3 linked regions of the Elephas maximus indicus genome follow. The main gene of each other region encodes a partner of the protein of the gene in region 3 in a complex. Links are inferred from orthologs where the notes say so. Each region holds a gene or a part of one and is shown on either strand. Other genes may lie near its edges.

What was found. Proteins that work in one complex are often made in the same cells at the same time.
Region 1: ACTL6B (region 3) and DPF3 share a complex: the UniProt entries of both Homo sapiens proteins name them as parts of the BAF complex. The link is inferred for Elephas maximus indicus from reciprocal best matches to the Homo sapiens genes ACTL6B and DPF3.
Region 2: ACTL6B (region 3) and DPF1 share a complex: the UniProt entries of both Homo sapiens proteins name them as parts of the neuron-specific chromatin remodeling complex. The link is inferred for Elephas maximus indicus from reciprocal best matches to the Homo sapiens genes ACTL6B and DPF1.

What each region holds. Positions count from the first base shown.
Region 1 is NC_064828.1:85,702,832-85,712,573, forward strand, and holds the start of DPF3 (zinc finger protein DPF3), read right to left. Parts: upstream 4,186-9,742; coding exon 4,154-4,185; intron 1-4,153. Other genes in the region: non-histone chromosomal protein HMG-17-like, read right to left, coding at 5,246-5,401. UniProt on the Homo sapiens protein: Belongs to the neuron-specific chromatin remodeling complex (nBAF complex).
Region 2 is NC_064829.1:113,378,404-113,387,874, forward strand, and holds the start of DPF1 (zinc finger protein neuro-d4), read left to right. Parts: upstream 1-5,286; coding exon 5,287-5,318; intron 5,319-9,471. UniProt on the Homo sapiens protein: May have an important role in developing neurons by participating in regulation of cell survival, possibly as a neurospecific transcription factor. Belongs to the neuron-specific chromatin remodeling complex (nBAF complex).
Region 3 is NC_064830.1:92,064,625-92,074,858, forward strand, and holds the start of ACTL6B (actin-like protein 6B), read right to left. Parts: upstream 4,056-10,234; 5' UTR 3,999-4,055; coding exon 3,974-3,998; intron 3,508-3,973; coding exon 3,431-3,507; intron 3,227-3,430; coding exon 3,061-3,226; intron 2,755-3,060; coding exon 2,654-2,754; intron 1-2,653. UniProt on the Homo sapiens protein: Involved in transcriptional activation and repression of select genes by chromatin remodeling (alteration of DNA-nucleosome topology).

The sequences.
Region 1 (9,742 bases), on a different chromosome or scaffold from region 3:
TTGGAATGTGTCCCCTACCCCTTACTCTCTGGTATCTAAACAGAATGTCAGAGCACGAGTGGGGTCTGGCTTCTAAGTGGTGTCAATTAAACAACTTTCACATGCACAGAACCACTTAGATTAGAATAAACTGTATTCCAATCATAGGATGTGTTAAGAGATGAAGATTTGAGGTCCATCTACACACAGGACCCTGTTTAACCTTAGCTATACTTTTTTATACTTTTAAGTAAGTATATTTATTTCTCCCAGAGTTGTGTCCTTGATTACAAAACAGGGATAAGAACACATACCTCCAAGCAAGGTTAAATGTTTAGGAAAGCGAGTTCAAAATACAATTATGTATATGTATAGTCACAGTTAAAAGCATGCCAAATTCGTTTACTGGTGTTATTCTCTATAAATAAATAGTTATCTGGGGTAAAGCCCTTTTGGTCTATATAGAATAATTAAATAATAATAACCGTTATTCTTTTTCTAAGCAGGCAGTTACAATAATAGATACATACATGCATAATCAAGTCTGGCAGAAGGTGGCAGACATTCCCAGTTAAGTGCATACAAACCAGGGTTTTGATAACTTAATAAAAGAGTAAGTTGCTTAAAGTGCTGAAAGCTGATTTATCTGAACTGGAATATTAAATAAGATTAGAATTTATATTAAAAAGCATTAAGGCTCCTTAATGGAGAAGGCAGTGAGAATACGAATATACGATGTGATTGACACAAAGTGCTATATCAAATCCTTATTTATGTTACCTGCATGTGTTTGCTTCACTACACAGCCCTTATCATGCATATGTGTGTAGGAAATAAGGGTCTCACACATCTAGGATTAGACAATGTAGCTGCTAAATTAAATAATGTGTAATATACATTTACACATCACACATGCCCATCAATTTTTTAAATTCTATTTGTCCAGATGTGACTGCTCAGTTGTGGGGCCACCTGCGGAGTCCCCTTTGTGATCTTATCAGCCTAGGCAGCTCCAGTTTCTGCCTCTAACACCCTGTTGCGCTGTAATAAGATGTTAAAGGCAACAACAGAGGGAGAAGGTAGGCTGTCAGCTTCAGAGGGGAAGGTGAAGACGGGTACAACAAGGAAGAATAAAAAAAGGAGTTGAAGGGCGATCAAAGACAGGCAGGAAGAAAGCCAAACTGCTAAAACAGGAGATGTGGCTTCAGGACATTAGGGCCCTAAGGAAGACCCCAAAGCAAGGAGACCCAAACAGTGTCATCCAGTTACCCCAGCCATTGAATTATTGAATGTCCCACATGCACAAAGCTAGTATAATGAAAAAATGGCCCATACTCAGGGTAAAAAGAGCCCTACAGAGGTGTTGCATGAAACCTGAGCTTGTTTCTTCCCAGCACATTTACCAACCACCACTTTATCCTCCAATCCCAGAGGAAACCTTTGTGTAACCAGCTTCTGTAGGGGGCGTCGGTGATGTTGGCTTTTTTTTTTTTTAAGGGAGGGGGAGACAGACTCACAACGCACAGAGAAAATGCTAATGTCGTTCAGCTCCGTTTCATTGTCAGGAGGGACACGTGAGGATAAAAACAGAGCTCTCCAAACCATTCTCCCCGCTCCCCCTCCTCCCAGCACTGCAATCCATCCCCTCCGATTGATGTGGCTCGGGCTCTACGCTTTGTTCTAATTTATCCCATGCATAATTGATTCACGTGTGTATTATTTCCTGATCAGCAACTTTTAAAAACAAATGAAATATATAAGATGTTTTATTAAACAAGTTGCTTTTGAAAAAAATACAGGCAGATGGTGTCGGTCTCCCAATGATAGCGTGTGTGCTCTTGGCGTTAGGAGTTTAAAAAGCGTCCAGGGTGCAGGAGGCTAGACTGGTCCCGGCATTGTTTACACTCCCTCACCCCCAGGGAAAGGGGTTGGGATGCAACTCCCACCTAGAAAAAGCAGGCAGGGGTGTTGTGTGTATGCGAGAATGTGCGCGTGTGTCGAGACACAGAATTACAAATACATCACATTGCAACTGTTTCTAATTACACAAAGTACGAGTATAATAATTCAGAACTAATTCCATTGATCAGCCGGAATTCGGCTACCCTCTTCCCGCCTCTCCGTCCCTTTTTCCACCCCTAACGTTACCCCAACACAGACACCCCCCCCTCAAAACACACACCATCCAGTGGTCAAAAAAAAAAAAAACTAGAGCAAGCAGGGGGAACCGCGGAACCGGGAAATATTGCGCCCGCGCGTAAGCAAGCGGGCTCCGGGGTAACAAGAGCACCGCTTTTCCAATAGGAAACCAACACGGTGCACATGTGAAACAGATTTCTCTAACTTGAGTTTACCAGGTGGTATCAGCCCCGCTATGTGAGTTCAGCTGGAAATGGGAAAACTGCAAATCTGCTGTGGATTTGGTAGAAACTCCCAGCATCAGCTGCGTAGCCGCGCAGGCGAGGAGCGTGGATGCGGCGAAGTTACGCGCATTTATTCTGCCATAAAACATTTTCTTTCTTGGGTGAAACGCTGTAACGTTCAAGAGCCGTATATCCAAGCTTCCGTGCAAGAACCGAGGCCGAGAGGTCCTCTCGGATCAGCTTCAGCTTCCAAAGTCCTCTTAACGGCCGCACTCAATATATATATTTTAAACTCCTAGACATGGGACATTCCTACCCCTTTTCCTTATTGCTAGTGGGAGATAAGCTGGTGCAAACACGACCGATTCTCCCCGAGCGTTTCTTCGCTTTAGGAGCCCCCCTATGACCCCCCCGGTAGGAACCTGGCTTTTAACTCCGTGAGGAGCCCCGGGGGGGGGCGGGGGGAGCGGACGCTGATGCGCGGAGTTGAAAGAACCGGGGTCCGCTTCGGCCGCGCACAAGAGAGAATTGAACACGAAGCGCCCCCACTCGCACCCCCCCTCCCCTCGCTGGCGGGTTCCAGCCGGGCGCCGAAGTCCTGATCAAATGCGCACGGACCCCGAACCCACGTCGCGCTAGGAACCCGAGGGAGCCTCCAACAGCACCCTTTTAAGAGCGACGCTAGTTCTCGAGGCCACCCCCGGCTCGATGATCGCAAGCGGACTTGGCGGCTTAACAGTTCGACCGACTGGAAGGAAGGAAGGAAGCCAGGATGAAGAGGGGGAGGAAGGAAGGCAGGCAGGAATTAACTGTCGAACCCGGGGACTGGCCCCCGCGTGCCCTTGCCCAGCCCGCCCCCTCCGTCCCGGATCTGGGCGTCTGCACAAAGTCTCTCGGCGGCGGCCAGAGGCACCTGCCCCTCGCTCTGGCCGGGAGTAAACGCTGCCTGCTGGGGCGGGGAGCCCGGAGCCGCCTCTCCGCCCGCCTCGCCTTTTCACCCAGAGGAGATGAGAACACCATTCCTAAGACCTGCAGCTTCCCGGCCTCCGAATCAACCCCAAGTCAACCCGAGTCATTAATTTACTACAGCCAGTTCGCCCACAAACACATACGCAAACGCGCCCGCGACTGCCCGGAGCGCCGTCATGCTCCGGGGGCGGCCCCGCAGGAAAGCCCCAGGCAGCCACCTGGGCCCCAGAGCTCCCGGGACCTGCGGCTTCCCCCGCGGTCCTCCCAACTCCGGAAGGTTTGCACAAACTCCCCGCGAGCGATCGGAAGGCAGAGAGCGCCCTGCAAACTCCGGAGCCGCCGCGGTCCGCTGGCCCGAGGGGACGGAGCAGCCAGGCGGGGGCCGCCGGCTCCGGAGGCGTGGGGCGCAGCCAAGTGCACCGAGGCGGCCACTGCCCGGCTCGCGCCCCCAGCTCGGCCTCCCCCAGCTACGCACTTGCCGCCCCGCTCAGTAGGGGACCCGGGGTACCTGCCGTCCCCTCGCTGCCCACAATCCCCCTAGCTGTCGAGCGCGCGGGCGCTTGGCTCCCCTACCGATCACCCCCCTCTCGCTCTGTCCACCAATTAAGCAAAACACAAATGTAACAGTTTTCTTCTTGTTAATTGCATCTCCTGACATTTCTACGCGTAGGGGAAAAAAAAAAAAAAGATGAAGAAGTCAGAGCGGAAAGAAAAGAGAGAAGCCCTGCCGCGGCTGGAGGCGCCTGCAAGCGCAGTGCGTTGGCAGCGCTCCGCACGGAGAAGGCGCCTTTTTTTTCATACTGAAACCACGCGGAATATGTACATTTTTTGGTCTTACTTACGCTTTCAGGGGGTTGTGAATGACAGTCGCCATTTTGCTACAATGTAACAGAATATTGTCTGTCTCAGAGTTCTAAAGGTTCGCTCAGGGGAAGCGGCAGGCCAATCAGAGCACGGGATACCGGCCCGCCGGCCAATCGGCGCGGCTGGCCGCCAGGTGGGCGGGGCCTGCGCGGTGGTAGTTATTAGGGGAGCTGTCAAAGCCCAGAGGTCACTCCCTTTTGTAGAGCCGGAGAGCGAGCAGGTCTTAAAGGGGCAGTACCGCGCGAGCAACTCCTTTTCGGATTGGGGAAAGTCGAGACGCACTCGGTAGAGTATTGTAGTTTGGATTAAGTCGCCGCTTTTCTAAATAACTGCGGAGAGTTTGCGCTCCTGAGCATAACTATTTAAATACTGCGAACAAACTACTGAACCTCATCCATTAGCTTTTGGCTTGGCTAATTTTAATCCCCCAAAGGGCAAATCTACTCGTTCCCGTGCAAAAGTTGGAAGGCTCCCGTTTTGTCAAATTACTACACGTGTCTTGCCGTTTGCTAATACTCTGAGACCTGCGGTTTTTTAATATTCCAATACCCAAAATGGTTTCTTTAGCTCGGCCACCTTCCTCTCTCAGTGTCTTACAACTGCCTCTGCTGTTCCTGGCGACTCCCGGACAGCAACTCCCCTCCCCCTGGAATGTTTCAATGTCAGGCTTGCTCACTCCTGCAGCCAGGGCTTCCGTTACATAACGCGCGGTGGTCACACTGCGCGGTTCCCCACTACCACCCTTTCTGTTCTCCCCCTACACCAGAAACTTCTGAAATGATCACATTCCAGCCGGTTGGAGAGTTGAGGAGGACCTGGCGCTGTGACCTTTAGGCTTAGGGGTAAGGGAGGTTTAGGGAAACTTTTGGAAACGCCTTCTGCTGCCTGGAAAGCAAGTAACTTGAAGACGAGTTGTAGACTGTAGATTGGGTGTTGTAGACCTAGAGTCCCTTTCCGGGAGTGGCACAGGCGATTCAGGCGTCACCTTTCCTATTTAGATAGAAGGCGAAAAGAATTTGCTAATGAATAATCCGGTGTGGCCTGAGGCGTTCAGAGAGTCCCTGTCTGCTTCAAGTTGGTGTGAACTCCTCACTGGCGAGCCTCTGACAAAACTGGGAGACTTCTGAGAAGTCAGGCTCAGACTGGGCAGCCTGGAAGCTCCGGGTGGATGAAATCGCACTAAATCGTGAATAGGGCAGGGGCCTCGTTAGCATACAGAAGTCTGGCTACAGTCCCAAAGCTGTTTAATCAGGTCAAGTAGCTAAAATAGTGGGGGAGGGGCGACAAGGGGGCTGAGGAGATGCCAAATTGCCGGTTCTTTAAAGCTGTGCCCTCTCACTTCCTTTCTCAGGGCTCCTCTCAAAGCAGTGAATTAAAAATTAAAATAAACCTTCCAGAACTTTCAGAGTTCAGTTCCATACACTATTAGAGTTACAGATGAATAGAAATGGCTGAATCAGTATGTTTGTAATAGACTTGAAATATTTTAACTTCCTTCTTTCTGACTGGAGCCCTGGTGGCCCTGTGGTTAAGAGTTATGCTACTAACCAAAAGGTCCTTAGTTCGAATCCACCAGCCGCTCCTTGGAAACCCTGGGGGGCAGTTCTACTCTGTCTTATAGGGTCGATATGAGTCAAAATCTACTTGACGGCAACAATTTGGTTTTTGTTTTTTCTTACTAGTTAATAGTAAAATTACACGGATGCATTTGTGACTTTTTGTACAGCATCTTAGAAGAGATTACAGTCTGAAAAAGTTGTCTTCTCAAATTCAAGTTTGAAAAATCTCTTCCTTATTAATTTGCCAAGGGCTTAGTTCAAAAGTTTATACTTTGCCTGGAATGGGCCTTGACATCATTAAAAACCAGTACTATATACTCTGATGTAAGAAGTTCAGTCTTCTCAGTGAGTTTGAATTAACAGTTATAACTCCCACCAATCTCTTTGATTCGGATTGAAACCACAACAATTTGGATTAAAAAACAGCATATTTTAATCTATCCAGCTGTATAAAGGCAGGAGGTGTAGAGTCTGCCCTGAACTGGACTTCCAATTGAATGGAAAAAGTAAAGAAAAACAAAATCTACATGGCAAGTATATACTCTGAGCATGTGCATATAGTTGGTTCTGTTAAGGCCCAGCTGCAGAAACCAACATAATTCCTAACTACCCGGCACACTTGAAAATGGCAGACCAGATCCGCCTTCATTTTGAAAAAATGTTTAACCCAGAGCTTAAACATTTAAGTTACATTTCATGATTGAATTGAAAAGAATCATGAATTAACAACGGTAGGATTTTTTTTTAGAAGTAGGATATCCTTGCTTTTTGTTACCCAAGGGAATGTCATTTTAACTGTCAATGCAGGTATGACTTTTAAATAAACAGAATTGTGAATTCATCTTTTATCAGTTCTAAGACCTGTAAGAGTTATTATTTTTAACTTTTTTTTTTTTTAACAGATCTCTTTGTGTATATTTTACTGTGTTTCTCTAGGATAGATGTGGTTGCTGGTTGCCGTCATATTGATTCTGATTCATGGCAACCCGTGTGTGCACAGCAGAACTGCTCCACAGGGTTTTTAAGTTTGTGACCTTTTTGAGAGCAGATTGCCAGGTCTGTCCTCCAAGGCACATCTGGGTGGGTTCAAACAGCCAACCTTTCAGTTAGTAGCTGAGTGCTTAACCGTGTGTACCACCCTGGGATCTTTAACTTTGGTTTTCATCTTGTAGATCAAGATCTCTCTCCCATAAGGCAGTTTCCATCTGCCAGTTTCCCAAATAGGCCTTAAAATGTACGGACCTCTCCCACAAAAACATGTTTTTACCAGAATTCTGAAAAGCAAGAGGGCTTAGTGGACATGTTGAAAGGTGAAAAAAGCCTTGAACAATTTTGGAGAATGTAAAATTTTACATTAGTTTTGTGAAGGAGGGCTGTGTAGGGCTAGGAGTGTGAGCTCTGGAATCTGCCTGCCTGAGTCCACCACTCATCGGCTGGGTTATCCCGGGTAAGCTTACTTAGCAACTGTAAGGTCTTAGCTTCCTCATCTGAAAAGTGGCGATAATAATAGAACCTACTTCGGGCGGCTCTCTCCATAAATGTCGACTATTATTTTTATATACCCACCCCAGTGCCGTCGAGTCGATTCCGACTCATAGTGACCCTATAGGACAGAGTAGAACTGCCCCATAGAGTTTCCAAGGAGCGCCTGGCGGATTCGAACTGCTGACCCTTTGGTTAGCAGCCGTAGCACTTAACCACTATGCCACCAGGGTTTCCATTATTTTTATATACCCACCCATAGATATTAATCATTTCCTGATGGCATAGGAATGTAGGGTATCTGAATAAAAGGGCACAACAGGAGGTGAAACTGTTCACTAAGTTTGTTTTTTTGAACTCATTGGTCTAAGCAAGATGAGCAAATGAACATTCTGATGAGAAAAAAATAATAAACAGAAATTTTTCAGTTAGGGGTCATAGAACTTAAACTTAAAAATGTCCTCTTGCTAATTAGACTATCAGAACACTTTTTAAACTGCATTTTTAAAGTTCTGTTGATAGTCATTTACACACTCCTTCCCACCACAGCCCTTTCATCTGTATTTAGTTTAGGTAGCTTAATTTGGAGGGCAGATCTAGTACAGAATAACCACTTTCCTGTTTCACTTGGAGAGTCTAGTTCTGTGCTGTCCAATATGGGCACCACTAGCCACATGTGGCTATCGAGCCCTTGAAATGCAGCTAGTCTGAATTGAGATGTGTTATCAATGTAAAATGGGGGCAGGAGTGATTTCAGTGGTAGAATTCTCACCTGACGTGAGCAAGATTGGGGTTCAGTTCCCAGCCTATGCACCTCTTGCATAGCCACCCCGTCTGTCAGCGGAGGCTTACGATGTGTTGTTACAATGCTGAACAGGTTTCACTGGAGCTTCCTGATTAAGGTGACTAGGAAGAAAGGCCTGGCGATCTACTTCCAAAAATCAGCCATCGAAAACCTTATGGATCACAACAGTCTGAGCTGCAGCCGATCGTGGGGATAGAGCAGGACTGGCTAGCATTTTGCTCAGTTATGCATGGGGTCACCATAGGTTGGGGACTGACTCAATGGTAGCTAACAACAACAATATAAATGTGAAATACACACTGGATTTCATAGACTTAGTACAGAAAAGAAAGTAAAATACCTCATAAATAATTTTTATATTGAGTACATGGTGACGTGCTAATTTTTTATATATACTGGGTTAAAATATAAAAGCCTATTTCACCTCTTTTCACTTTTTTTTAATGTGGATACTAGAAAATAAAAAATTACACACATGGCTCACACCATATTTTTATCAAATAGAGCTGCTCTACACAGTGTGTATGACCAAGGAAAGAATTATGGGCCTTTCTCAATCATATTAGTTCACCCTGTGTCGTTATTAGTTGTCATCATGGTGGCCTCATGTGTGCAGAATAGAACTGCTCCATGGGGTCATCAAGACTGTGATCTTTCAGAAGCAGATCACCAGGCCTGTCTTCCAAAGTGCCTCTGGATGGATTCGAACCACCAAACCTTCGGTTAGTAGTTAAGCACTTAACCATTTAAGCTACCCAGCCACCTTCACCCTTGTAGCCTTCTCAAATTCATCCTTCGTGTCAATTAGCAAAACTCCCTCACTCAGCTCAAGTATGTGTTCAGTGCACCCATCCAAAGGAACATTTGGGTTGTGACTGAGGACCCAAGCATCTGAACCACAGGGGCACCCATCTCGGTTTACTCCTAAAAAGTTGAAGGCTGTTTCCGAAGACAATCAAAGCTACGAGGAGATGCCCATCCAGAAATATAGAAGAATGGCACTTGTGTAGCAAGTGCTGACCTTTCCAGCTGACTTTTCAAAGATAAATATGAGAAAGGAGACAAAGGCCTCACAAACACCCAAAGAGTTCATTTGAAAGAGGAAGTATGCCCACAAAAGCCATCTGAAATAAATGCAATTTCTGGTGGGCTCTGAGAGCTGAAGGAGTCTCGAGTCCAGTGGGTATTTGAAAAATAAGACCAAGCTCACCCTCAATCCCTCCATCCATCCACAGAACAATCAGTCGTGTCCATAGCAGCTGGTTGGCCATGGCTGGTTCCCTGAGGTCCAGAACCAGCTCTGGGACATTCTAGACTCTGAGCTGAAGAGGAACTCTTTTGAAGAAAAGAGGGCATCAAAGCCACAGCCTGCATGAGAACATAATGAATGTCCCTGAATCGTACATGTAAGAGTGGCTGAAATGTCAATAAAAATTAAATATGCACAGAGCCTGATTTTCTGTCTTCTTGGCGCTGTGGGGGCAGGGGTTCTCACTCCCTTCACAGTATCTCTAAACACAGAAAAACAAAGATGTCAAGTTCCAGGTCTGGGTGATGCTCCCAGGGCCAGGCCTCTGAAGCCACATATCTCTGGGGAGAGTCAGAAATAGAAAGCAATGTTTGCTGTTTCCACTAACTTAGTTCATTCATTCATTCATCCATTGGAGGCTTTCTATGAGGGAGGCATTGTGCTAGGCACAGGTGGCGAAACAAAAATAACC
Region 2 (9,471 bases), on a different chromosome or scaffold from region 3:
TGCATACTCCGACGTTCGAGGAATGGTGTTCTACCTGTTCATTCTCTGTTTTCTGCAGCATAGATTAAAAACCAAAACCAAAGCCGTTGCTGTTATGTCAATTCTGATTCTTAGCAGCCCTGTAGGACAGAGTAGAACTGTCCCATAGGGTTTCCAAGGAGCAACTGGTGGATTTGAACTGCAGGCGTTTTGGTTAGCAGCACTATATCAGACAATGTTCAGCGGCTATTCATGGTTTTAACTGGCCAGTTCTTTCAGAAGTAGACTGCCGGGTCCTTCTTCCTAGTCTGTCTCAGTCTACAAGCTCCACTGAAACCTGTCCACCAACGGTGGCCCTGCTGGTACCTGAAACACCAGTGGCATAGCTTCCAGCATCACAGCAACACAGTCACCAGAGTACGACAAACTGACAGACAGGTGGTGGTCATAGAAAGACTTGGGAGTTTGCTAAGGATGGACTCCAGCATCGGCCTTCAGGGACACTGAACCCACAGGACAGGGGTGGGCCGGGTGAGTGGGTGGGCAGGGGGATATTTTCACGGTAGGCCCGAGGGGATGTGGACACAGGAAGTCAGCAAACCCCCCTCAGAGGACCTAGGCTTCAGGTGTTGGCTTTTGAGTCACACCTGGTCTGAATGTCAGCGTTCCCTGCCCTGTGGGTGCCGGCTTTCGGTGAGAACTTTGTCCATCTGGGCCTAAGTTGCTTCGTCTGCAATACGGAGGTGCTGATTCCTGCTTCCTCTGGGTGGTTTGTATGAGTCAGTGATGCAAACCTTGCAAACAGCTCAGTGTAGGAAGAGCTAAATAAATTGGACCTTACTCACTGTTGTTGCCGTTGTCCGGGTATTGTGAGCCCCACCGCCCAGCCTTCGCCCTTCTGGACCTCCCCATTCCCATCTGGGCAGGAGGCGTCTGAAGGCTATGGCTGAACATCCGAAGGGGAGCTTGGGGGGGCTGTATTCTCTGAGTCTGTGTGGGGAGAAGCGAGATGCGGTGGGTGTTAGCAACACTGCCCCTCTCTGAGGTTCCAGCTGGGCCCCAAGGAGTCTGGAGCAGAGGGTCTCCCAGTGATTCTGGGTCCACAGGGAGGTTAGACCGTGGTGACCAGGTTCCGGGCAGGGTCTGAGGCCCAATGTGGGGCTTAGTGTCTCCACCGGGGACCGACCCCAAGCCTGCCATGTCTCTCAGGCTCTCAGGATTCCAGTCTGAGAATTCTGGAGCAGCCTCTGGGGCACAAAGACTAGAGCCACAGTGCCCTCTGGTGGCCACATCCTTGGTCTCAGGGTTTGGGAGAAGGCCCAAAGACTGGGACTTCCAGGATCAGCGTTGGCCTCCAAGGCTGAGTAACAAGATTAGGGATCAGGACCCGAAGAGGTCGGGACAGGAACCCTGCCCTGTGAGGTCAGAGATTTAGAATGCTAAAGGATTCACAAACAGTTCAGCCGTCCCCTCCTCTAGGAAGCCCTCCGTGACCCCCAGGTTAGGTCAGGTGCCTTCTCTGGACTCCCACATCCCCTTTTATTTCCCCCACGCCAGGCCTGATCCCTCTGCCTGTGCCTCCCTCATCCCAACCCTGACCCCTCTGGGCTGTTGTTGTCTGCTGATGGGTCTGTTGCCCCACTAGATTGTGACCTCAGGACAGAACCTGGGGTTGTCTCCATCAGGGGGTGTCCCTAGCATGATCACACAGGGCTGTGGTCCATAAACCAAAAAAAAAAAAAAAAACCAGCCAGTTGTCAGGTCTGTTCTGACCATGGCAACCCTAGAGCCCTGGTGGCACAGTGGTTAAGTGATATGGCTGCTAACCAAAAGGTCGGCAGTTCAAATCCACCAGTCCTCTAGGATCGCTATGGCTGTGGATCTGTGGTCCATAGCACTCCAGAAATTAGTGAGTGTGCTTAACCTTCCCCTTTGAGCTTCAGCTCCAGGCCCTCTGCTGGGCAGGATTCCTTGATAGAGTTCCCCTGCTTCCGTTGTCCAGGTCTCCATGCATGGGAGCGCACAGCCTGGGTCACCTTGCTCTCACCCCTCACCAGTTGCACGCCTCAGGGCTGGACACTGGGCATAATGAGTAATTGGTTTCATTTATTTATTCAACAAATACTAAAGAAAACAACAACAACAACCAGTTGCAGTCAAGTCGATTCTAACTCGTAGCAACCGCACTTGTGTCAGGGCAGAACTGTGCTCCACAGGGTTTTCAGCGACTGTGATCTTTCAGGAGTGGACGGCTGGGCCTTTCTTCTCAGTGCCTCTGGGTAGATTCGAACCATCAAACTTTTTTCTTCTTTTCTTTACTGTGTTTTAGATGAAGGTTTACAGAGCAAATTAGTTTCTCATTAAAGAGTTAATGGACGTATTATTTTGTGCATTGGTTGCCAGCCCCGAGATATGTCAACACTCTCTCCTTCTCGACTTTAGGTTCCCCATTTCCATTTGTCCAGCTTTCCCGTCCCCTCCTGCCTTCTCGTCCTTGCCCCTGGGCTGGTGTGCCCACTTAGTCTTGTGTACATGGTTGAGCTCTGTGTATTATCGTTTGTTTTATGGGCGTCTCTAATCTTTGGCTGAAGGGTGAACCTCAGGAGTGACTTCAGTGCTGAGTTAAAAGAGTGTCTGGGAGCCGTACTCTTGGGGTTTTTCCAGTCTCTTTCGGACCAGTAAGTCTGGCCTTTTTTTGTGAGTTAGAATTTTGGTCTACATTTTTCTCCGGCTCTGACCCTCTATTGTGATCCCTGTCAGAGCAGTTGGTGGTTTTAGCTGGGTACTCTCTGGTGCTGGACTCGGGCTGGTGGAGGCTGTGCTAGCTGTGGTCCATTAGTCCTTTGGAGTAATCTTTCCCTTGTGTCTTAGGTTTTTTTCATCCTCTCTTGCTCCAGACGGGGTGGGACAAGTTAGAACCACCAAACTTTGCAGTTAGTAGCCCAGTGCTTAACCGTTTGTACCACCGAGGGACCCCATTTAAAAAACAGCACCTACTATCCGTCAGGCCCTGTTCTAGTCAATGTGGAGACAGCAGTGGATGGGACAACATCCCCACCCTCACACAGCTGATATTCTAATAAATGAAGACAGACAATAAACCAAGTAACCAAATAGATACAGGACATGATGATGGGCTATGATAAGTGCTTGGAAGAAAAGTAAAGTAGCTAAAGGGGCAGAGCTGTAGGGGATGCAATGTTAGCTGGTGTAGCCTTTGAGGAGGTGATATTTAAGTAGAGACCTGAATGAAGTGAGTGATGGAGCTATGCAGGTACCTGGGGAAGGAGCTTTCTAGGCAATGCAAAGGCCTTGTGGCTGAAGCAGGCCTGGACTATTCCAGGAACAGGGAGGAGGCCAGTGTGGCCAGAGCAAAGTTAGTCAAGGGAAGAAGGAGGGAAATGAGGTCAGAAATGTGATGGAGGTTCGGGGGGATTGAGAAGGCCCTTGAGGGCACCGTGAGGACACTGCATTTTATTCTAATTGTGAAAGAGGCCGTTGGAGGTTTTGAGCTGGAGAGTGGCGTGCTGTGATGTGTGTTTTAGGTAGCCTGCTTTGGCTGCCATGGGAAGAACAGACCGGGAGCAGGGCCAGAAACCGACGATGGAGCCGCTGTGATAGTACAGGCGGAAGACAATGTGGAAAGGACCAGGATGGGGGTTAGGAAGTGGAGAGGGGTGGGTGGACTCTGGATCCATTTTATGAACATAGAGATGACAGGATTTGCTGATGGACTTCCAAAAGAGAAAAGTCCGGATGATGGATTGCACTTAGAGCAAAATCCATTCTCTGTATAATGGCCTACGAGGCCCTACATGATCTGGGTCCTTTCTCTCTCCCCAACCTTGTCTACCCCTTCGCTCACTCTGCTTCAGCCACACTAGCCTTGCTGATCTTAGAATGTGCCAACCTTGCTCCCACTTCAGGGTCTTTGCATTTGATGGTCCCCTGCGCCTGGGCATGTTGTGGTCCGTTAGTCCTCTGGGCTGATCTTTTCCTTGTGTCTTTGGCTTTCTTCATTCTCTCTTGCTCCAGATGGGGTAGGACCAGTTCGAACCACCAAACTGCAGTCAGTAGCCAAGTGCTCAACCGTTTGTGCCACCGAGGGACCCCATTTAAAAAAATAGCACCTACTATTTGTCAGGCCCTGCTCTAGGCACTGGGGAGGCAGTAGCAGATGGAATAACATAGAGGTGACATTCTAATGAAGAAAACCAACCAAAACAAACCCATTGGCGTCGAGTCAATTTCAACTCATAGCAACCCTACAGGAGAGAGAACTGCCCCTTAGGGTTTCCAAGGAGCACCTGGTGGATTTGAACTGCCGACTTTTTGGTTAGCAGCCATAGGTCTTAACCACTGTGCCAGTAGGGTTTCCTTCTAATGAACAGAGGCAGACAACAAACCAAGTAACCAAACAGATGTATGATATGATGACAGGCTATGATAAGTGCTTGGAAGAAAAGTAAAGTAGTTAAAAGGGACAGAGTTATAGGGGATGCTATTTTCAGCCGGGGGGGCTTGCACCTTCTCAGGTTTCAGCTCAAATGCCACCTCCTCACAGAGGCCACCTTCTGCTCAAATCAACCTGTTTTGTTTATAGCACTCTCTCTCTCTCAAATGATCTTATCTATTTCTTTTCTTGTTTATTATCTGTCTTTCTTCAGTAGAATGTCAGCTGCTTGAGGGCAGCGACTTTGTCCGCTTTGGTCACTGCTGTATCCCCAGCGCATACAAGAGTCTGACATCACTGAATGAACGAACGAAGACATCAACTAACCCCTGTGCTTGACGACAGCTGGCTTACACAGAAGAGGCACCTGGACCAGCAGATACAGACAAAAATACACGACAGACTCGGGTCACCCACAGACTTGGGGAGGCCCAGAAGTGGAGGACCACCTGCGCCAGCGCCCGAGATGCCTGGAGGATGGGGAGCGCGAGTCGGGGATGGAGCATCCCCAGGGAGGGGGACTGAGCCTCTGGGGGGCGAGCCCCGCCCCGCCCTGTATCCCCAGCAGCCAATGGGCGCGCAGTCCTCCCGGCGCCCCCTGGGACGTGTAGTCCGGGCACGGGCGCCCTCGGGCGCCGTTGCGCGCCCCTGGACTCCACGTCCCGTCGTGCGCCTGGAGGCGCGGGGATTGGCCGAGCCCCGCCCCCGTCCCGCCCCGCTCGGCTCGCGCCGCAGCCCCAAGAATGAATGAAATCGTAGCGCGCTGGGCGGCGGAGCCGGCGGCGCAGGCCGGGCTGGGCCCGCGCGCGGCGGGAGCGGCGCCCCGGGCCGGAGGCGGCCCCGCCGAGCGGGCCATGGCCACCGCCATTCAGAACCCGCTCAAGTCGTGAGTCCCCGCAGCCACCCCCGCCCCCGCCCGGAACCCTCCCAGGAGCTCTTCCCCCACCCTCGCTGGGGAGGGGTCGCAGCGCGCAGACCGCGGTTCGAGGCCCCCCCAGCACGTCCCCTGCCCCTGGGGGCCCGGCGCCCCCTGTCGCCCCCTGAGTTACGGGCGGGAGCCCCTTCGGGGCCGCGGGGGCGCCTCTTCTTTGTCGCTGTCAGTGAAGGAATGTGGCGCGGGCTGGGGGCGGGGGGCGGAGGCCGAGTTTCCCCACCCAGGGAGTTAGGGGCTTCCCCCTCCTCCACCATCTGTCTGGGGCCCCCCGGCTTGGGTCCCGACCTCGGTCTCCGGGGTCTCCACCGTTCTCTTTCCCCTCATCAAGGCGCCTTTCTCTCTTTCCTCCCTCCTTCTCCCGGGTCCCGGGCTCAAGCGGCTGCAGGGTGGGGGCTGAGGCTTCGGGGGTCCCCGGTTAGATCCCCGCTGCATCCCCCTTTTCCTCTCCGGGTCTTAGGCCTGGCCCAGGACCAAGAAGCCCCGACACTAAGGTCAGCTTAGACCGGAGGATCCCTTCCCCTCCTCGCCCATACACATCTAAAGGGAGCCTCCGGAGGGGGTGCTGGGAGCGCCCTCGCCCTCCGGGGATCCCTTCCCTTCCTCCCTGCCCGCGTCACTGCTTGCAGCGTTAGGTTTCTCCTGTGCCCAACGCCGTGGAGCCGGACGCCTGGGTCCGCGCCTAGCTCCCTCTCGTCCCTACCCCTCCTTGCCATTGCTCGCTCTCTCCGCCTCTCCTCTTCCCTCTTCGGGATCCCGGACTCCCGGGTCCCGGCATTCCCCCCTACCCGCGCCCCTTCCCCAGGCGGTGACAGCGGGCTCGGAGTGACAGGCGCGGCCGCTCCCGTCCTCCCTCTCTGGCAGGCGGGCGCAGCACTCCCCTCCCCCTCCTCGGCCTGGGAGGAGGCGGGGGGCGAGCTCCCGCGGCGCCGCACAAAGGGGCCGGGACGACCTCCCCCACCCTTCCCCCAACCCCGCGCTCGCCTCCTTGACCTTGAGCAATGAGTGCAGTGGGCGGGGGCGGGGCGGGGGGCGGGAGGAGAGGAGAGGGAGTGACCCCGAGAAGGGTGGCGCGTGGTGGCTGGATCAAAGGGCTCCCAGTCGCTTCTGGCAGGGGGAAGTTGGGAGTGGAGGGTGCGTAGGGGGTGGGAGCTTATAGGCACAAGCCGTCAAGTGTGGCTTGGTGAGGGCCAAGAGGGCTTGAAGGGGGTGTATGGGGCCGGGGTCAGTGTGCTATGGTGTGTGCTTCCTTTCCACCCACACCTGCACACACAGGCAGATGCCTCTCCTACGAGGGACACCCTTACACTAGTTGGGAACAGGGTTCCCGTGCCTGGTGGTGGATTACAGGCATCCTGGCTTCTGCGGGTGCCTGGTGGCCAGAGTGTGTGAGGCGGGCGTGCCAGCATCCCTCTCCGCTCTCCCCTTCCCAGGGGTCTGCACGGGTGAGGGTAGGGACTCTCTCCTGAAACAATATGAGAGTCAAATCTCCTTGGGAGCAGGGGGCTGGAGAGCGAAGCCCTCGGGAGTTCAAACCCCAGCTTGAGCCATTAATGCCCTCCCCGCCTCCAGCCTCAGTTTTACCATCCGTGAATTGGGGCGCATAATAGTTCTTTTGGAGCCCTGGTGGCGCAGTGGTTAAGTGTTTGGCTGCCGACCAAAAGTTGGCAGTTTGAATTCACCAGCCACTCCTTGGAAAACCTGTGGGACAGTTCTACTCTGACCTATAGAGTCATTATGAGTTGGAATCCACTCAAAGGCAACCGGTTTTTTCTTTTTGGTTTTATAGTTCTTTTTAACTCATGGGGCTGCTGTGAGGCTTAAATAAGGTGGTATTTATGAGCACTCAGTATAGCACCTGACCCCAGCTAAGTGTATGATTATTAGGGGTGATATCAATACTGGTTTCTATTGCGTCCAGCTCCCATACAGGACACAGAGGGTTGGGGAGGGGAGGACTGTTTTTGGACAGGGGAGGGACTGTGGTGTTCAAGTGTGTAGGAGAGCACGTGGGAGGGGTCTTTGGAGGTGACTTAGGGTATGGAAGGGGAGACGTCTTTCCAAGTGGCAGCCTGGCTCTGTAGGTTCAGATCCTGTTGGTGCACCTCTGGAGAGGTGATGGGTGTCTACGTGCGCAGGCTCCCCTGACTCAAACTGATGCAAGGTTTCTCATGTGAGGTGAGGGTGAGCTGGGTGTCTGAGATTGGAGGTGTGGGGGAGCCAGCGTGAGAGGGCATGCTGGTGATCTGTGCAGGGGGTGAGAGGTGAGAGAGGAAGGTGGTGGCAAGGGCTCCCTCTGAGGGGGCAGGGCTCACTGTGGAGAAGGTATCTGGGGTAGCCACTAGAGGGGCCTGGAGGCCTGAGTGAGTGTGGAGGTGGGGTGCCAGCATCTCTCACTTACTTCCCTTGTCACCTACTCTGGGTTAGGTGTGGAGCAGAGACCCCAATTGGGGTTATGTGGGAGGGAGGAGCAGTTTGTGGAAAGGATCTAAGAGGAGAGGTGCAGGGGTGTGTGTGGAGAAGTGATGGTGGGAGGGGGCATCAGGTTACAAAAGAGGCGAAGGCTAGAGTGCCTCCCCCTGTCTGCAGGAGTGCCCCCTGGGGGATGAGTGTGTTCGTGGGCATGTAGGACCACCACTTTTTCATCCCTGCAGCGGCTCCCTGGACACAAACTCTGAACCAGGCGGGCAGTGGGTGTGCGTTTGAGCGTGTGTGTGTGTGTGTGTGTGTGTAGAGGCTTGGCACGTGTGTGTGACCAGGTGGGTCAGTTCACTTTCTGGGAGTTCCTCAGGGTGGAATCTCTGTGAGTGACAGTGGGAGGCAGAAGGGTGTAAGGCCCACGTGAGGATGGGTGTCTGGATGAATGCACCGTTTTCTCAGTCCCACCTTCAAACAGCCACCAGGGACTGAGGGTTGTGTTATTACAGGTTTGTAACTTCTCTCATTTGGAAGATGGGGACATTAATAGTATGGCCCCAGAAGGTTGTTATGAGGTCAAATGAGTTAACCTCTGTAAAACACTTAGGACTGTGTCTAGTGTTACAGTCGCTGCTCAGGAAATGTGTTCTTTCAACAAATATTTACTGAGCATCTACTCTGCCTGGCAGTATTCTTTCTAATAATGATTAGTTTTTGCCAGTTTATATCTTAGCACATATCAGATCCTCCGTGAAATGGGTGCATTTATCGAGCACTTACTACATGCCTAACCAAAAAACCAACCAGCTGCCACTGGTCAATTCTGACTCACGGCAACCCCATGTGTGTCTGAGTAGAGTTGTGCTCCCTAGGTTCTTTCATGGCTGATTTTCAGAAGTAGATTGCCAAGCCTTTCTTCCGAGGCACCTCTGGGTGGACTGAAACCACCAACCTGTTGGTTAGCAGCCGAGCACATAAACCATATGCACACTCAGGGCCTCTGCTACCTTTTACAACACTTTGCCTGTATTTACTTATTTTCCCCCATGTTTATTCATTTAATCCTCACATCCGGCCAAGGAGGCATCACTCTCATTTTACAGATAAAGAAACTGAGGCTCAGAAAATTTAAGTCATTCGCAAGGTCATGTGGCCAACAAGTGGCAGAGCCAGGATTTGAACCCAGGAGGTGCGGCTGCCGTCCAGCCTGTGGAAGGGGCTGCGTGGGGTGGGGTGGGTGAGTGTGGTTGGGGTGAGAGACAATCCCGAGTGGGGTGGGATAGGGATCCTTGGAGCTAGAAGGGACGGGGGGGGCAGTGTCACGTGTGTGACAGCGGCCGTACGCAGGCTGGGGGAAGTCTGTGTGGGCACCTGTAAGGTGCCCCTAAGTCTCTTGGTATGATATCTGTGTGTGAGCATAAATGTACGTGAGTGCAGCTGTGTGAGTCCGTGCGAAGGTGTGTAGGCGGGAGTGTATGAGTGTGTGAGCCTATGTGTGAATGCATGTGCAAACTGTGCGGTGCGGGTGTGATCCAGGTGTGCGTATGTGAGCGCAGGCATGTCAGCCCAGGCTGTGTGTACGAGCCAGGATGCGTGTAAGCCGGTGAGTGCCTCTCCGCCGCCGGGTGGGTCGACCCCGGGCCTGGACTACAACTCCCAGCATGGCCGGGCGGGCCCGCCCCTCCGCCGT
Region 3 (10,234 bases):
GGTGCACCTACTATGGAAAAGTTAGGTGGCTCCTCAAAAAGCTAAACATAGAATTGCCCTATGACCCAGCAATTCCACTCCTAGGCCTATACCCAAAAGAACTGAAAACACAAATCCTTGTACATCAATTTTCATTGAAGCAGTATTCACAATAGCCAAAATATGGAAACCCAAATGTTCATTAATGGATTAATGGATAAGTAAATTGTGGTAAATACATGCAGTGGAATATTATTCAGCCATAAAAAGGAATGAAGTACTGATTCGTGCCACACCATGGATGATTTTGAAAACATTATGCTAAGTGAAGTAAGTCAGACACGAAAGATCACATATTACATGATCCATTTATATGAAATATCCAGAATGAGCAAGTCCATAGGGGCAGAAAACAGATTGGTGGTTACCAGGGCTGAGGGGAGGGAGAAATGTGGTGTCATTGCTTACGGGAAGCTCAGTTTCTGTTAAAGGTGATGAAAAAAACTTGGAAACAAATAGCGGTGATGGTTGCATAACATAATTAATGTCATTAAATTGTACATGAAAAAATGTTGAAATGGCAAAAGTTTTGTTATATATGTTTTTAGCACAGTAAAAAAAAAAAGTGACACACAGGAAATAAAGAGCTCTTGGAAATGAAAACTACAAGAGCAGAGATGAAAAACTGAATAGATGGGTTGGAAGTAAAGTTTAGGGAAACTTCTGCAAATTAGAGCAAAAAGATAAAGAGATGGAAAATAGAAGACAAAAGATTAAAAATAATAATAATGGGACCAGTTTAGGGGGCAAAAAATCCAAGTAACAGGATTCCCAAAAGAGAGAACAGAGGAAATTGAAAGAAATGTACCGTCAAATAGGTAATTTTTAGATTTTTCACTGAACTGAAAGACATGGTTTCCAGATTGAAGGGACATACTGAATGCCTAGAGCAATGACGAAAATAGACCCATATCAATACATATCACTGTGAAATTATAGACTATTGAGGACAAAGTGAAGATTCTATAAACTTTCAGAAAGAAAACAGTATCACATCACAGGATCAAGAATCAATGGCTTCAGCTTTCTCAATGGTAGCAACATATGCTGAAAGATAATGGAAAGTTGTCGTTAAGATTCTGAAGAAAAATTATTTCCAACCTGGAGTTTTATACCTAACCAAGCTATTAATCCAAGGTCAGACATGCAAGGTATCAAAAAAAATTTACTTCCCATGATCTTTCTAAAAAAGCTACTGGAGGTTGTGCTCCATAAAAACAAGGGAGTAAATCAAGAGAAAAAATCATGGGATACAGAAAATGGACCTCTACTACAGGAAAGAAGAAAAAGAATTCCTCAAAATGATGGTGAAGAAAGATGCCAGGATGACACCTATGTCCCATGTGTAAAGGGTTACTAGTCCAAAGTGGAGCAGGTCAATGGGCTCCTGGAGAGATGTCTTCCAGATGATGAAATTGATAGACTACCTAATGGAATTAATGTCTTGAGAGGAGTTACAGATTACTGATGAATAATTTAGGGACATGTTATTAATAAGTAGATTAAAAACTAAGGAAAATAAAAACCAAGACAATTTTCAGTTCTAGAAAAAACAAAAAGTTTTTCAGGAAAGGAAAAATAATCATGGTTTATTGCCTGTCCCAATCCTTATTACCATACATTGTAATAAAGTGTAAACACTGAATATTGACCTTAAAAAAAAAAACTAAAATACAACTATATATAAAGGTGGGGAATGAGAAATGTGTGTGGTGTGGGTTGGGGAAGGAAAGAGAAGTAAATACTAATTTCCTGTAGTGGGAAGCTCATAGATAATGTCTAAAACTAAAAAAAAAATATTCACAAGCAGCAATTTAACCATGATATTTAGAGATATGAAAGGAAATACCAAAAGACTTAGCTAAATGAGATAAAAGCTATGCCCGTTGGAAAAGCAGAAATGGAAGGAACTACAGTTTTCTTCTTAACATACTTTATGAAGCAAACTGACTCTTTATGAGCATACATAAGGTTGACAAAAATATTAAGTTAATGTTGGCCCAGGACAGGAACCATTCCCAAAGCCAACTCTTCAGACAGGGATCAGACTGGACAAAGGGTTGGAGAGGGATGCTGGTGAGGAGTGAGCTTCTTGGATCAGATGGGCACTTGAGATTATGTTGGCATTTCCTGCCTGGAGGGGAGATGAGAGGGTAGAGGGTTTTAGAAGCTGGTGAAATGGTCGCAAAAAAGAGAGTGGAGGGACGGAGCTGGCTGTCTCCTTAGGGCGAGAGCAATTGGGAGTACGTAAAAAAATAGCAAGGTGTATATAAGTTTTTGTGTGAGAGACTGAGTTGATTTGTAAACTTTCAATTAAAACACAATCAAAATTAAAAAAAATTAAGTTAAAAGTTCAAAAAAGGACTTTTGGTGGGGAAAGGGCCGCAGATAAGGCTGGTTGGGGGAAGGGCAAGTGGATAGAGCACGGGATGAGGAGAAATGAAGACTAAGGCAGTAAGGAAGAAAAATGGTTGAAGATCTATGGGGTTGGAAGGAAAGCCTAAAAAGGGAGGAGGTGGCTTGATTGATGGGGGCAACTTGAGGTGACAGCTGAATGGCGGAAAGGAAGCGCCTGGGTCTCAGGGCCCGACTAGGAGCTGGACGAGGCACTTACCGGCGCCTCGGACATGAGCACTGGGTGCAGATTTGGCTCAGACTTGACGTGTTTGCTGTAGGTGTGATCCAGGATGGCACGGAAGCACTCCCAGTCCTCGACTGGGGCCAGGAGAACAGCGTGGAGAGACAGTGGAGGGCAAGCAGCGGTCAGAGGACCGGAAGGAAAGAGGAGGGAAGGAAGCCAAGTCCAGGGGAAGGGAAGTGGGACCAGTTCCGGCAGAAAAGCCTCTTTCCCAGGAATCTGGCAGCCCCTGGTTTGGGAACCAGGCAGCTGTGGGAAACAGTGAGGGGTCACTGGGACTTGGGCAGCTGTAAGGAGTACTCCGTGGGTGTGGGTGCTGTGTCCCGGGCCGTGGGGAGTGAGCTCCGGGTCTGTGTTGGGAGGCAGTGGGTGGGGCCCCTTACTCATGCCGTTCTTGAGGGGCGACATGACCTCCGCTCCATCCCGAGGCACGTGCAGGGCGTTGGTGTCTATGTGGAAGATCTTCCCTTTCTTCTCTTTCTCCCCCTCCAGCTCCAGCCCGCCCCCCTCCTCCGCGGCCAGCAGCCCCACCGTGGTGGGGAAGTCAGCCTGAGGGGGGAGGATGGGCAGGGAGAAGGATCACCCTGTTGCCCTGGTCCTGCCCCACTGCAAGGCCCTCAGCCCGCCAGAGGTTTACGCCCACATTTCCCTCTGCAGAGCTTCTCTGCGAGTCTGTGAGAGCCCTAGGTCACTGTAAAGCCTGGAGGGGAGTCCGGAGCCCCTAGGATTTGGGAAGGGAGCTGGAAGACTCACCTTGGGGCAGTCCTCCCCAGCGTACCCAGCGCGGACTGAGAAGGAGCCAATGTCAAAGACCAGCGCCCCCACCTCATCTGTGCGAGGAGACAGGCTTGTGAGGGGGCCTCCTCCAAACTCTCTTGCCTGGACACCTCCGAGAGGAGGTCAGGGCAGAGCCACAGTCTCGCCACCTTCATCCCGCGCAGGGGCAGGTGGGAGCTCAGCCTGGAATCCAGGGTGCTGAGAGTGGGAGTCAAGCCAGCCAGAATCCCGTCTTGCTGAGTGGCCTTCTTCAGGCCACTGTCTTTGGCGGGGAAGGAAGGGGCTGGGGTCCCTGAAGAGGTGGGTTGAATGGTAGAGAGTTTGGCCCGGAGAGCGAGAGGCGTCCGGGAAGGACTAAAGGCAGGGGTGGCATGGGACCCAAGCCCTGGGCTGGGCCCTCTCGAGCGTCGAGTTGACAGGCCCCAGGGTGCCTGGAGCTTGGGTCGCGCAGGTTCGGGCCTCAGGGCTGCGGGCGAGGCCGCGCCGGACTGGAAAGCCCCAAGCCCGAGACTCGCTCACCTCCGCCGTAGACGCCCCCGCTCATAGTGCCCTCTCAGCAGCTCGCGGCCCGTGGGCGGCGGCGGGATCAGCACCGAGGCGTCCGGACAGCTCCCGGGATCCCGGGCGGGGGCGGGGCGTGAGGCGGCCAATCGGAGGGCCAGATCCCCCGCCCCCAACGGCGCCGCCGATTGGCTGCTAAGCAAGACAATAACCCCGCCGGGGGCCGCTGCTTTAAAGGGGCAGACTCCTCAACATCTGGCTGAGGGGAGGAGGTAGGGGAACAGCGAGGGTGCAGAGACCGACCATAAGAGATAGGCCCACACAGTAGTAAAGAGATGGACACCCCGCCCATTCGGAGACCAGCACTCCGGTGGGTGACTGGTGGGGCCCCTGCTCCTTTATTTGTTTAAAGGGGACAGGGGAAGAGGGCGCCATAGTCCTGGAGAGTCGTCCACCGTCTTGCTCCAGAGCTCTGGTCCGCAAAGCCCAGGCCTGAGAGAAATCGAGGGAGAGGGAGGGGAGGGAAGAAGAAGGGAAAGAGGTACGGGGGCGGGGGGGGGGGTGGTGCGTGTCTTCGTCCTTTCCCAGTGTCTTTCCACCCCTGTCTTTCTGATGGCTTTCTCTTTTTCTCCCCTGTTCTCTGATGCCTGGGCCTCACACATGCACATGTGTACACACACATACACATGCGTACACACGCATACACGTGTGCATACACACACATACCCACTCACACATAGGACCTCAGCTAATCCAGCCTTAGCTTCCTTTCCCAAGGCTTCTCTCTTCAGCCCGTTGTTCTGCTCTGGAGGCATTTATTAAGCAAGTTGGTTTTCTACTGGGAGGTTTCTAGCCTCTTCTGGGCTCCTGGCATGACACCACCTCCACAGTGATTTTAATAGTGAAGGGAAGGAGCAGTGCTGACAGCCTGGGTTAGCCAGAGACTCTTGTATGATCATTTGTGTGTAGCTGTGTGCTTGTATGTCCATGTTTATGTGTGTTGGTATATGTGTGCACGTGCATACGTGTGTGTATGTGTGTACTTATGTGCATGCGTATACATGTGCATTGAGGGCCTTTCCATCTGCTTGTTGGCGGGGGGAACGTTAAGACCGGAGATGACAGAGAGAGGGAATTGTGTGACTGCCACAATGCCCCTGAAGTTTCTGCTCACCAGACACCCACTCTGGAAGAGGTCTTACCTTTCCCCACCAGAAGGACATTTGATCTCAGCTGGCTTAGTGGCTCCCTACTGGTAACAGTGACATCTTATGTGCCCTGGATTGGTTGCAGGCCCAGGTCTGGATCACCAGGCTTGGAGGGGTCCAGTCTGCAGTGGGAAGGGTCAGATGTAGGGGAGAAGGCACTGACCCAGGAGCTGGGAGATTGAGACTCTCCTGAGTGACCCTGGCCAATCATTGGCCTCTCTATAAATTGAGGCCTGTATGAATTGAATGAGCCCCTAAACCTCTTAGAGCCTGCATTTCTTCATCTTTCAAAGTGTTGAAGTGAGGAGTAAAGAACACCAAAGAATTTGATTCATGGCCTGCATGGCCTGTTGACAATGGTGTTGCTTCACCTCCCATGTGAGTTCACCTTTTCAATTCCCCTGCACCACGCCCACCCCCAGATTCAGAAATTGCCCCAATTGGGAGAAATTTTAGTGATCATTGATCCAATCTGTGGATTTTACAGGGGTTTCTTCAGATAGTGGCAGGGCCTTGTCTTGGTCCCACAGCTCACTGGGCGCAGAGCCAGGACTAGAATCTAGATCCTCTTATCAGCCAGTTGAGAGAAGACCTTGTTTCATAACAACTCTGTGTTCCTCTTCAAGCTTCATTGTCCTCCATTGTAGAACACCTGGTGGTGAGGACTCAATGTGATACCATAGTCAAGTGTCTGGCTAAGAGTAGGGCGACAGGACTACTCCATAAAGACTGGGTCTTCAGAATGTCCCTGGGGAGATTTTGAGGCTTTAATATTATAACGCATAAGTTAGAAGTCTTTAGACTCTCTGGTAATGAGAAGAGAATTTTATTCTCAAGGCTGGTGAAAAAGCTACAGTCTTCTAAGTATAGGACTGAATTGGTTTATGTCCCTGTCAACTGTAGCCAGTTTTCATTTGTCATGGGATCTGACATGAGATTCTACTCTATTATGGAGGTGTTTAAGGTGAAGGTAGTTAGTGTATTTAATTTGTTCATTCATTGATTCAACAAACATTTTTTTATGCTGACTGTGTTCCAGGGAACATGCTAGGTGTGAGAATACTGAGGTACATAAGATAGATTCTTGCTCTCAGAGAGTCTTGGTGCAATGGGGAGCTCAGACATGAATGAAAATGAGGTGCAACAGAGGCCTAGAGGATGGAGGGACTGTCTCTGAGAGTCCAGAAAGGCTTCTAGAAGTGAAGTTTGAAGTGAATCATGAACTATGCAGGTAATGGCATGTGCAAAAGTGCTGAGACATGAATATTTCTGACATAAGGGTTTATGTGGGAATAGTTAGGAGCTCAGTTTAGAAGGAGGGTTGGATATGAGTTGGTGGGAGAAAGTAGCATCAGTGGGGAATGAGATTGGAAAAGTAATCAGAGGTCAGCTCCTTTATTTAGCAAATTCAAAGCATCTACTATGTGCCAGGCACTGTTATAAACACTTTACAAACAATAAGTCATTTAATCCTCATAACGTGATTATTATCCCCATTTTGCAGATGGGGAAACAGAGGTATGGAGAGGTTAAGTGACTTGACCAAGGTTATGGTTGTTGTTAGGTGCCATCTAGTTGATTTCAACTCATAACAACCCTACGTACAACAGAACAAAACACTGCCTGGTCCTGTGCCACCTCACAATCATTGCTATGTTTGAGCCCATTGTTGCAGCCACTGTGTCAATCCATCTCACTGAGGGCTGGCTGAGTTATCTTGGGCTGCTCTAACTAAATACCACAAGTGGATGGCTTTAACAAACATAATTTTATTCTCTCAAAGTCCAGGAGTCTACAAGTTTGAGTTAAGGTGCCAGCTCCAGGAGAAGGCTTTCTTTGGAGCAAGGTTCTTTCTCACGAGGAAAAGTCCTTGTCATCAATTTTCCTCTGGTCTAGAAGCTTCTCGGCACAGGAATCCCAGGTCCAAAGGACACATTCTGCTCTGGGGCTGCTTTCTTGGTATATGAGCCCCCTGTCTCTCTGCTCACTCCTCTTATATCTCAAAAGAGATTGACTTAAGACACAATCTAATCTTTTAAATTGAGTCTTGCCTCATTAAAGTAACTGTTGCTAATCCCATTTCATTAACATCATAAAGGTAGGATTTAAAACACCTAGGAAAATCACATCAGATGACAAAGTGGTAGACAATCACACAATACTGGGAATCATGGCCTAGTCAAGTTGACACACATTTTGGGGGAACACAATTCAATCCATGATGAGAGTCTTCCTCTTTTTCATTGACCCTCTGCTATACCAAGCATGATGTCCTTCTCCAAGGACTGGTCCTTCCTCATAACATGTTCAAAGTATGTGAGACAAAGTCTTGCCACTCTTGCTTCTAAGGAGCATTCTGGTTGTACTTCTTCCAAGACAGATGTGTTTGTTCTTCTTGCAGTTCATGGTGTATTCAATATTCTTTGACAACAGCACAATTCGAAGGTGTCAATTCTTGTTTGGTCTTCCTTATTCATTGTCCAGCTTTCAGATGCATATAAGGTAATTGAAAATACCATGGCTTGGGTCAGGTGCATCTTATTGCTCAAAGTGACATCCTTACTTTTCCACACTTTAAAGAGGTCTTTTGCAGCAGAGTTGCCCAATGCAATGCATCTTTTGATTTCTTGACTGCTGCTTCCATGGGTGTTGATTGTAGATCCAAGTAAAATGAAATCCTTGACAACTTCAATCTTTTCTCTGTTTATCATGATATTGCTTATTAGTCCAGTTGTGAGGGTTTTTGTTTTCTTTATGTTGAGATGCAATCCATACTGAAGGGTGTAGTCTTTGATCTTCTTCAGTAAGTGCTTCAAGTTCTCTTTGCTTTCTGCAAGCAAGGTTGTGTCATCTGCATATTGCAGGTTGTTAATGCTGTTTTTCTCCACTTCTGATGCAGCATTCTTCTTCATATAGTTCAGCTTCTCGGATTACTTTCTCAGCATACAGATCGAATAAGATAAATGCTTTGCAAATAATAAGACATTTAATCCTAATAACGGCCTAATTATTATACCCATTTTCAGCTGGGGAAACAGAAGTGTAGCGAGGTTAAGTGACTTGCCTAAGGTTACCCATCTGGTAAGTGCCAGAGCTGGGATTTGAACCAAAGCATGTGAAAAATGCTTACCCTGGGGCAAATGTTGTCATGCTTTTATTCATTCCATAAATGTTCCCTATGTAATGATAACCCGTTAACCAAACCCGTTGCCATCAAGTCAGTTCCAACTCATAGCAACCCTATAGGACAGAGTAGAACTGCCCCATAGTTTCCAAGGAGTGCCTGGTGGATCCAAACTGCCGACCTTTTGGTTAGCAGCCATAGCTCTCAACCACTATGCCACCAGGGTTTCCTATGTACCCGATAAAAAAAATAGGCACTGGGAATAAAATGGCTCATAAAACTTGATCCATAGAGTTTATTGTTTATCCAGGAAGATGGATGATGAAACAATTAATTCAATAAAGTCAGCTGGAGATTCTCACATTTCATGCCCGCATTCAGACTGGCTGAACCTGAGCCCCTGGTAATGATTCCAAGGTGGCAGGAACAGGCCCTCTGATCCTACAGCTTAGAAATGAGTTGGCATCTTGTGGGGACCTGACCATTGCTTGTCGAACTCTCACCCAGCCATCTGCCAGGTAAACCAAGTTCCTTGGCTTCTCAGGGAGCCCCTGGCCTAGTGCAGGTGGCAAATGCCCAGGAATAAATAAAGGCTGCAATAGGAATGAAGCCAGCATTGCAGAGGGGCACCAATAACAGTGAAGTTAAGGAGTGCTTCACAGAAGAGGCAATATTTAAAAGAAGCCTGGGGAAATGACCTGAATTTTTCCAGCTGATAAGGAAGTGGTGTTGGAGTGGGGGTGGAAGGCATTCTGAATAGGGGGAACAAGACCAAGTCTGTGTGTCCCATAAAGAGGCTTTGGCCTTCTACTACACGGTTTTGAATGGGAAAGTTATATGACCCAATTTGCATTTTAGAAATATATCTCTGGCAACAATTTGGAAGGTTGATCAGAAAGAAACAGGCAAAAACCAAGGTATGTGGCATGCGCAGAAATGATGGATTTAATACTTAAGAGGTAGCATTGACAGGATTTATTCTCCAAGGAAAGACTGCTAGCCTTACTCTAATACCTCTGTCCTTCTTTCTTTATTAATGTTTTAGCTAGGTACATGGCTAGATATTACATTTTCCAGCCTTTCTTGCATCTGGCCAACTTCTGAGTAAAAGTTAGTGGTGTTCTTAAACAAAAAGGACTTGTACTTCCTACCTCAACTCCCTTCTCAATGGATGAGATTCAGATATAATGGTGGGAGCTGCTAGAGCCACTTTGGACCCTGAGATGGAAGCTTATGTTAAGGATGACAGAGATGCCTCCACAGTCCTGGAGTGTCTGTCTACTTTGGAGTTGTTGCTTAAGCCACTATATTTTTGAGTCTCTTTTTTATAGCGGAAATCCTGGTGGTTAAGAGTTAAGGCTGCTCACCAAAAGGCTGGCAGTTCAAATCCGCCAGGCACTGCTTGGGAACCCTATGGGGCAATTCTACTCTGTCCTATAGGTGGCTGTGAGTCGGAATTGACTCGACAGCAATGGGTTTGTTTTTTTGTTGTTGTTGTGGATGTTGTAGCTCCTTAGACTGGACTCTAACTAGTTCACTATCCATTGGGAAGCTCCTGGGTGCATGGCGGTGTTAACTGGGTCAAGAGAAGAACAGGGTGGGGAAGAGTGAGGTGGGTGGAAAATGATCAATTTCGTTTTGAATATGTCGAGTGTGAGATATCTGTGAGCAGTGAGGTGTAGTAAATGTTTTAACAACGATCTTTTTTGGGGGCGTGCAGAATCCTGATCTGAAGCATTTGATTTCCATGGTGTAAATACTCTCACCATGACTGATTTCAAGTTACTACCACCAATATGACTTCACTAATCAAGGAGTTGGGAAGAGAAGTATACAATCGGCTCTTGTGAGCTGGTATGAGCTGGCATAAGCTGACTCCATTAGCAACCAAATGGAGATACTCAATCTGCAATCGGACATACACCAAGTCTGCATATGGGGAGAAAA